Ovis aries: one gene and its partner. The protein of the gene in region 2 interacts with the protein of the main gene of each other region in a biochemical or structural test. Links are inferred from orthologs where the notes say so. Each region holds a gene or a part of one and is shown on either strand. Other genes may lie near its edges.

What was found.
Region 1: the proteins of BMPR1A (region 2) and BMP4 form a complex in vitro, tested with the Homo sapiens proteins (3 studies listed by BioGRID and IntAct, with this or other methods). The link is inferred for Ovis aries from reciprocal best matches to the Homo sapiens genes BMPR1A and BMP4.

The regions. Positions count from the first base shown.
Region 1 is NC_056060.1:64,607,985-64,612,265, forward strand, and holds the start of BMP4 (bone morphogenetic protein 4), read right to left. Parts: upstream 2,957-4,281; 5' UTR 2,431-2,956; exon of another isoform or gene 2,131-2,430; intron 1,893-2,130; 5' UTR 1,769-1,892; intron 716-1,768; 5' UTR 709-715; coding exon 336-708; intron 1-335.
Region 2 is NC_056078.1:40,570,850-40,575,307, reverse strand, and holds the end of BMPR1A (bone morphogenetic protein receptor type-1A precursor), read right to left. Parts: coding exon 4,250-4,458; intron 2,382-4,249; coding exon 2,206-2,381; intron 1,208-2,205; coding exon 1,077-1,207; intron 990-1,076; coding exon 864-989; 3' UTR 744-863; downstream 1-743. UniProt on the Homo sapiens protein: On ligand binding, forms a receptor complex consisting of two type II and two type I transmembrane serine/threonine kinases.

The DNA of each region.
Region 1 (4,281 bases), on a different chromosome or scaffold from region 2:
AAACCTGACAAACACACAGCTGTAATATTAAATTCAGTAGGTGCTTTGGAAAAAAAAAATAGGCAGAAAACCTGGCATAAAAGGCTTTGATATAGCAAAAGCACACCGCAGGGGCTAACCCACGTCTGAGTGGTGTCATTCCCTTCTCGCCGACCCCTCCCTTCCCTTCTGTCTCCAAAAAATAAATTCAGCCACAGCTCTGGAGACTCTTGAAGGTAAGCAGCTCTCTTTTCCCAGTCTCCTGGATTTGGGGTTCTGATGTAACCTGAACTCCTCGTCGTCTTCCCACAGCTTCCACTGCCCCACCCCAGTCCAGATTCCAGGTAGGGACTGACCTTCGTGGTGGAAGCTCCTCACGGTGTTGGCCCGACTGGCGGGGCGCTCAGGATACTCCAGACCGATGCCCTGGATCTGCTCTTCCTCTTCCTCCTCCCCAGACTGAAGTCTGTAAAGATCCCGCATGTAATCCGGGATGACTGCGCTCTTGCTAGGCTGCGGGCGGCGGCGCAGCCCGAACATCTGCAGAAGTGTGGCCTCGAAGTCCCGAAGGAGCTCATGGCTCTGCCCTGAGCGGCGTCCTCCCGCGTGGCCCTGAATCTCGGCGACTTTTTTCTTCCCCGTCTCAGGTATCAAACTAGCATGGCTCGCGCCTCCTAGCAGGACTTGGCATAATAAAACGACCATCAGCATTCGGTTACCAGGAATCATGGTGTCTCTGGGGAGGGGAGGAGGTGGAAGGGTAAAGAATAAATAAACACCAATAACTAGAGAGAAATGGAGATGTCTCTGCATAGGCGTGGAGAGCTACAGCTAGAGGGTCTAGAAGTAACACAGGTCAGAAAGATCAAGTTTGTGTCTTCCCCCGACACACACACCCCCCCACCACCACCAGCTGCAGCCATGCACGGCCTGAAAGTAGGAATTGCCCTGTAATTACTTGGTCTAACTTGTTTACAGTCAAATAACCCCAAATCAGATAGCCTCCATCCTGTTAATCTTTTTTTGTCCCAACTGCTATCTGAGCCATGATCTCAGCCTGGCTTCTTTAGGGATAAACAGTTAACAGTGAGAAGGTAAAGAAGGGTGGGGGAGGGAGAGTTCAAATGCCAGCGCTCTCCTCTCCACTTCAGACCTTCAGGCTCTCTCTCCCTTCTCCTCCACCCCCCTTCTTCCTCCGCCCTTCCTAGCCCGACTTCCACAACTTCCAGCTGGTTCGGAGGAGGGAAAGCAGAGAAGCAGGAGCAGGGTGAAGACACGGGGCGGCAGGATCTAGGAGCGTACCGAGTGGCCACAAGGTTTATTTTACTGTGGCTGAGGAGTTTGAAATGCCCAGCAAAAGCATCTGATCGCGTCCTCTCGCTCACTCCCAGGGAAGGGGGTGTGGGAGGGGATGATTCCAAGGGCGACCTCTGTGAGTTTTGACAAGCAGCTAGGAGCGAGCCACAGGGGCACTGGGTGCTCCCAGTCATGTGGGGAGGGGAGCGGTCAGCTCCCCTGACTGAGGACTTTTCATTTGTTCAGCCCCTTCTCGCTCCCCTTTCTTGCAACGCAGTGATCAGAGAGAGCCAGCGGGAGCAAGCGGCACTTTAACCAGAACCGGTAGGCTCCGAGCGCAGTGGTTGCCCGGCCTAGAAGAAAGCGACAGCGCTGCCAGAAAGAAGAGTGTGGACTCTGGAAGGAAGGTCCGACGGAAGGGACACAAGGCGAGCGCGGGCGGGGAGGGCAGAGTGAATTCCCGGGAGGAGGGAAGGAAGAGGTGTCTACTCACTGACAGAAAACAAGGCATATAATAACAGTCCATGATTCTTGACAGCCAATCTTGACAAACTTGCTGGAAAGGCTCAGAGGAGCTGCTGCAGTGCGTTGCTCTGGATGGCACTACGGAATGGCTCCTAAAATGAATATTTGAATATAATGAGACTGGCGCAGACAGACTCTGTTTTTCTTCCAGCCCCTATGAGTCACGTGAGCGCAGAGGCCCCGCCCCACGCACGGAGGAGCCCGCCCTCCCCGAGGCGGGCGGTGAAAGGGCCCGCGCGCCCGCCCCCGCCCCCACCCCTCCCGCCCGCGGCCCCACCCCCTCCCGGAGAGGCCGGCCTCCCCGCCCGCAGCCCCAAACCTCCAGCGGACCGGGAGGAGCTCGCCGTGGCAATCTGCTGAGCCCTCGGCGGGTGTCCGGGTGCGGCGCGTGGAGGACGTGGTCCTCGCCCCTACCTGTAGCCTTCGGGGCGTCGGGCTGGGCCCTCGTGCCAGCGGCCTGAAGCCAAGGGTCTGGGGAGCACGGTAGGGGCTGCGCCTTTCAGCGCGAGCCCGCCTCCGGTGGGGCCGAGATAGGGGGCCGCGGAGTTTCAGCCGCCGAAAGCCTCACCACCGAGGGTCATTTAAAAAGGAAAGCGCTGAGGGACACACAAACACACACGCCGCGCGCACCCTACTTCCTCCCCAGGGTCTCGGAGAGGCCAAATGCTGCTCCCAGTGACAGCTAGTTACCCCCTGGCGAACTCCTGAGAATGTCGAGAAAAACTGGACAGCCGCTTTAGCTTCCAGCCCAAAGCTGCGGACCCTGTCGCGCGGGACGGGAGGGGGAGATATTTAGGCGGTTATCGGTGTGGGAAGATGGTGAGAAAGCCGCCGCTAGGCTCCTTCTCCGGTTCCTTTACGGAGAAAAACTCCGCACTACGGCGATCCCCCGCCAAGCAAAGCAAATCCCCAAAGAAAGTGGTCGGCGGGCCATTCAAGGCACGGCGGCGGTCGCAGGGACGCAAGGCTCGCGACAGACTCGAAAAGAGGCGTCTCCTGAGAAAAGGCTCATCACATGTTTCAGGTCTCAAGGTCGCAGAGGTTTTACAACTCCCGACCCGCCGCAGAAAGGAAATCCCACCGCATTCCCAGGAGTCGTGAAAACCGTGAACAGCTTTCGGCCTGCGCTCGACCTCTGCGTCTGCGTCTCTCTTTCTCACTCTCTCCCCAGCTCGTCTTTTTTAAACCACTACTCCTCCCCCGCCACTTCCTCCCCCACCCCCTTCCTCCTTTGCACCAGCTGCAGAGTCGCAGCAAATATTTCTTCAAGAATTTTACCAACCCACAGCTCAAGGAATTACTAGGGCTCTGATTCTAACCAAAGATGCTGCATGCGTGGGTCGCTCAGCACAGGGGCCTTAAAAGAAGAAGAAGAAGGAAAAAAAAAAAAAAAACTGACCTACCAACTGCGGCAGCCGGGGCCTTTTCAAAATCCTGACCCACGCAATTCTGTGGCAGCCCTGCCCGCCCCGGGATCCCAAGTCCCACGATTCCCGCTGCAAAGCGGAGGGCACCGGCTGCCCTTTCCTGGGGCTGTTCCCAGAAGCTGCTTCGGGTCGCTTCAGAGCTCAAGGACTCAAGTTGCCCACCTCACTCTCCCTCGCAAACTTGGGGGCAGTTGGAGGAAGAGGAGGAAAGGATCAAGCGCTTAGCCCTCTCTCCGGCCGCGGCTGCCCAGCGCCGCCAGACACCGCACTGGCCGAGTTGCGGAGGCCGCGGGCGCCCCTGCGCGACGGTCCACACCCGGCGAGAGTCGCGCTGCTTTTTGACCGGCTTTAGTTTTTCCCGCTCCCGAGACACGGCTGGGGCTGACTGCGAAAGGGTTTGGAAGAGCAAAGAGTTTTGAGACGCCTAGACCCCTCAAAATGCCGTGGGAGGAGCTCCAGAAGTGGGAAAAGCAGACGAAGAAGGGCCGGTCCCCGCGGGCGAAAGGACAGTGGAAAGGGCGGAAGCCCCGCAGTCCCCAGACCATCCTCCGACCCTAAGAATCTTCCAGGGCGCCGCGCGAGAGCGCGCGGTGCTAAAACCCAGAAACCTGGGGAAGAGGGAGTTGTGTTTCAATTTCAGATTCAGAAGGATTCTTCTCTAATCACATTTTTCTCCCCCAATTTTCTTAATTAAGAGATAAAAGCCGAAAAGCACTTTCGTCTCCAGAACTTTTTCTTGGGGGTCAGGGATGGATCTTGTGGCAATTGTCTTTTGCTTTCTTGCTCGAGTTTTCTGCTAACTCCAAAGTTTGTTCAGAGCTGGCCTCAGTTTACCAACTCAATGTCTTTCGGGGTTTTAATGTCTCACAAAGACTTCAGCTCATAAAACGCAATGCTAACCATCCACCAATTGGTGCCCGGGAAGCGTCTAAGGCCGCTGGCCCAGCTCCTGTGGGCAGGGGTCTGCAGGGACCTGAAAACCCCAGGACCCTCTTCCATCGGCTCTGGGCCGGGAGGGCCAGTAATAGCAGTGCGTCCGATGTGCATCTCGCCA
Region 2 (4,458 bases):
GCATTGGAAGTTCCAACTTTGGAAGGATGCTTTTCATGACAATAATAACAATTAACAAAAAACAATTTTGTGGTGGGAGGAAAACAGTCCAAATTTACATACACTTTTAATTCCTTTTGGCCTTTATATTAACTTTAATGTTAAAAAATAAAGTTGGTGGAGAAGCTAGCTCACTTGCAAGGTAAATGGCTTTTATGTGATTGGCAAATCTCGGTCAGATAACGCATTTTTAAAGCACAAAACCAACAGCCACCAATATCTTCCTGTGCATTCACAAATTATCTTCTAATTCAAATGGCAGCAGAGGAACTCTGGTATGCACGTATGTACACAGACACACACACACACCACCAAGGCATGGCAAACTGTCATCAGCTAAGCAGTACTGTATCCCAAACAGAGCATAATCCATAGGCTGTTTACAAAGGTAGAATACAAATAGATTAAATTTTTTTCAGGTAGAAGGCAAACGTGTATATTTCTCCATCTCTGCTGAATTCATTTATCTTCTCAAGGCTTTCACAGAAAGCACCATTTTATGAACAGGTAATTCAGTACCCAGAGTTTGACTGGAGACTTATTAATTGGGATTGAAGTCTTGATGCAGTTCATAAAAATCCAATAAAAAAAAAAGGCATCAAAAACCACATTTAAAATAAAGTTGTCCATATATAAAGAATGAAGTGTTTAGAAGTTCCCAGCTTGTATTCTACAGAGTACTGAAAGATTAGCAGCCTGTGAAGGTGTAGTGAGGAAAGAGTCTGAGAACCAAGTTACTATCCTCATTCTATTCTAATTCCACCCATTCCTTGGGTGAAAACAGTTCTTGCAGTCTAGAATTTCTCCTCATGACCTTTTATCTGTCAAATCTTTACATCTTGGGATTCAACCATCTTGGCAAGTGTCTTCTTGATTCTCAGAGCTGTAAGTCTGGAGGCTGGATTGTGAGCCCAGCATTCTGACATTAGCTTCAAAACTGCTCGTAGACACTGAAAAGTAAAGAGAATGTCATGAGCGGGTAAGGGTCTTTGGCAACACTCAGCAATCACTTCCTGAGAGGACTGACTCCCACTTACTTCATCACTGTTCCATCGATTAGACACAATTGGCCGCAAACGTTTAACGCACACCACCTCACGCATATCCTCGTATGATGGGTCATTGGGTACCATGTTGTAATACGGCAACTGGTACTCTTCGACTATTCCTGTAGTGAGCGAGAAAACAGTGGGCACAAAAACAGTGGCTGGAAAAAATACATCAGTCTGTTCAGCACTTCTTACTGAACTAAGGAACTAAAATTGATTCCCCCATAAAGAAGAAGAGATTACTGAGCAGATGATTCATGTCTAATAGTAAATGTGTGTTCTACTCTTCTTTTTAAATATGATTATTTTCTATATCCCTACCATAGTTGTCCATATTGAACATGCCAATATCCCTTAAAACAAGCAAAGTGAACCATTCAACCTAAATTTTTAGTCTTTTTATGTATACAGTTGCTTCTACTAATAAAAGAGTAGAGCCTTTTTTCTGCAGTAGAAAGACAACGCATCTGTAGGAATGAGTTGGCAAGGCAGACTGGAAATTGCTGTCTGTATGAGAGGCCTGCCTGAAAGCCTGGCACTGAGCTGGTATCTGGGGACTTGCCTGCTAAACAGCTCTCTCTATTCACAGAAATGAAAAGGGTGGCCTTTGTAACTAGACTATTTGTGCAAACAATATAATTTATGCTGACCACCTGCTTTCTTTCTAGAAGTTTGGAATTTTGATACATGCCAGGCAGAGGATGCCCATGTGACCAGCCTCCAAAAAAATCTCTGGGTACTAAACCTCTAATGAACTTCCCTAGATGACAATATTTCACATTTTTACAATTCACTGCTAGGGGAATTAAGCACATCCTGAGTGACTCCACTGGGACAGGACTTCCGGAATCTTGTGTCTGACTTCCTCTGAACTTTCGCCCCATGGGCCTTTTCTTGTCCCTTTGCTGATTTTGATGTGTGTCCTTTCAGTGTAACAAATCTTTGCTATGAAGACAACTATACACTGAGTCCTGGGAGTCCCAATGCAGTGACAGAGCCAGTGAGTGATCTTGGAGCTCCCTGACCCAGATGACACCTAAATCATGCCACTGGAGCTGTTATGTTTTGAATGACGAGTACACAGACACAACCAGAAACACGCTGCCCACACTCCTACCTCCTGTGACACAACGGCGAGCCATTTCCCAAACGATCAAGCCAAAGCTGTAGATGTCAGCCATTATGTAGGGCTGGAAATGGCTTTTATTCAGGCTTTCGTCCAGCACTTCTGGAGCCATGTAGCGCTTGGTGCCCACCCTAGTATTCAGGGGCACATCAACTTCATTTGTGTCGCTGAAACAGAAGACAGAAAACGTCCAGGTTGAGGGGAAAGAAGAAAACCGTTTCTCCTCTATTTTCACTGCATTGTGTAACAGGCAGAATTTCTCTCTCTCTCTCTCTCTCTCTCTCTCTCTCTCTATGTGTATGTGTGTGTGTGTTTGTATACACAACTAAATAAAATGAAAATCTATCTAATAAGTCTACATTTCCTGATCAGTAATCCTTGGGGCTAGGTGTATTTTGAAATTTGACATCTTTCAGATTTTAAAAAAGTATTACATATTATATCCTTTAAATATATGCTGTGTATTGTATAACACCTCCAGCAGGGTCTGGAGCAGTCCTGAATCAAAATCATTACTAAGTCCACAGCAAAAAACTAAGTATGACTATTCACAGTTAACTGAATAAATAAAGACAGTAAATACCTCAAACCAGTTCAGGTCAAGTTTTGTCAGCAAGTAAGTTCTGTGTCTCTCTAAGAAAGAGAACAGTGCTGAACATAAAATGTGGTAGATGATTATGTCCTAGGGTGAGTAAATGTGAAAAGTGAGAGGCATCATTTGTTTTCTTCATTCTCACGTGATCCTTTGTGATTTGGGATTACATTTTTTTCTTTATGGGTCCAACCAACTCAGTTCTATTGTGAGTCATGTTTACATAATCATACTGCAATATTAATCTTTTTTTAAAATTAATTTTGGGAGTATATTTTAGAGTTTGAAGACATGAATGACCTTTTTTTTTAGGTTCCCAGATCTGTTAAGATTCTGGAAACTATTTTGAAATGGAGATCAATATAATGTACTTTATATTTTCTTAAATGGCATCTGATGAATACTTGAGCCAATAAAAATTCCCCTGATAGAAAAAAACAACAGGATAGAAAACTGTGATAATGACAGAAGAAGATTAAATTTTTTGATGTTTGTTTTATTATGTACTTTAATTTTATGGCCTGAAATGAATTTTGAAATGTAAAATGGCTGCTGTACTCTAGAGTTATACCATTAAAACAATTTCAATGGTTTCCTAAAAATGTGATATTCTCATCGTTTAAAAATACTGACAATATCAAGTGGTGATGAAGCCATGGCATACAACTCTTGTTCACGGGCGTGCACACTGACGCACACTTTCTAGGGGACAGCCTGTTAATGCAGCTTAACACATACATACTCTCTGCCTAGCCCCTTCTCCAGAAATCCACTATGAGGAAATACTTGTACAAGTACTCTGGAATATTATATATGGATAAAATACAGTATTCATTGAAGCACTTTTTAAATAATAGACCCTGGAGGCAACTTTAATGTCATCAGTTGGGTCATAGATGGGATAAATTATAGAAATCTATAAAATGGAAAACTTTGCATACTGCTGCTAAAAAGAGTAAAGATCTATATAAACTGAAGTAGACGTCGAAGACAATGGGAAGTAGGAAATCAAGAATTATGTAGAGTAAGATGTAATTTTTGTAAAAAACAAAAACCACAATGAGAACAAAACACTAAGACAAACCTCCTCCCAAATCCTAACTTATAATTTACATCAGCACAAATACATGTTCGGAGGGCCTCCCGGTGGCTCAGACGGTGAAGAATTTGCCTGCAATGCGGGAGACCCAGGTTCAATCCCTGGGTTGGGAAGATCCCCTGGAGCCACTCCTGTATTCTTATCTGGAAAACTTCATGGACAGAGGAGCCTGGCGGGCTATAGCCCACGGACTCGCAAATAGCTGGATACGACTGAGTGACTAGCACTTTCACTTTACTTTTCTTCACATGTTTGGAGTCCCACTGTCCTGAATACAAATACAAACAGGTAAATATCTTTAGGAAATTAAAATAATTCCAAACACCAGGCAAAGAACCACTCACCTGTTGAACTTAACAGCAAGGCCCAGGTCAGCAATACAGCAACTCCCATTTTTCTTGATGAGGATGTTTTTGCTCTTTAGGTCTCGATGAGCGATTGCAGGCTTCCCTTGAGTGCCGTAGATTTCTGTGTGGAGATGGCACAGACCGCAGGCAGCCGAATAGGCCAGCTTGAGCAGGGCTCTGGTGTCCAGCGTCGCACACTTCAGGAA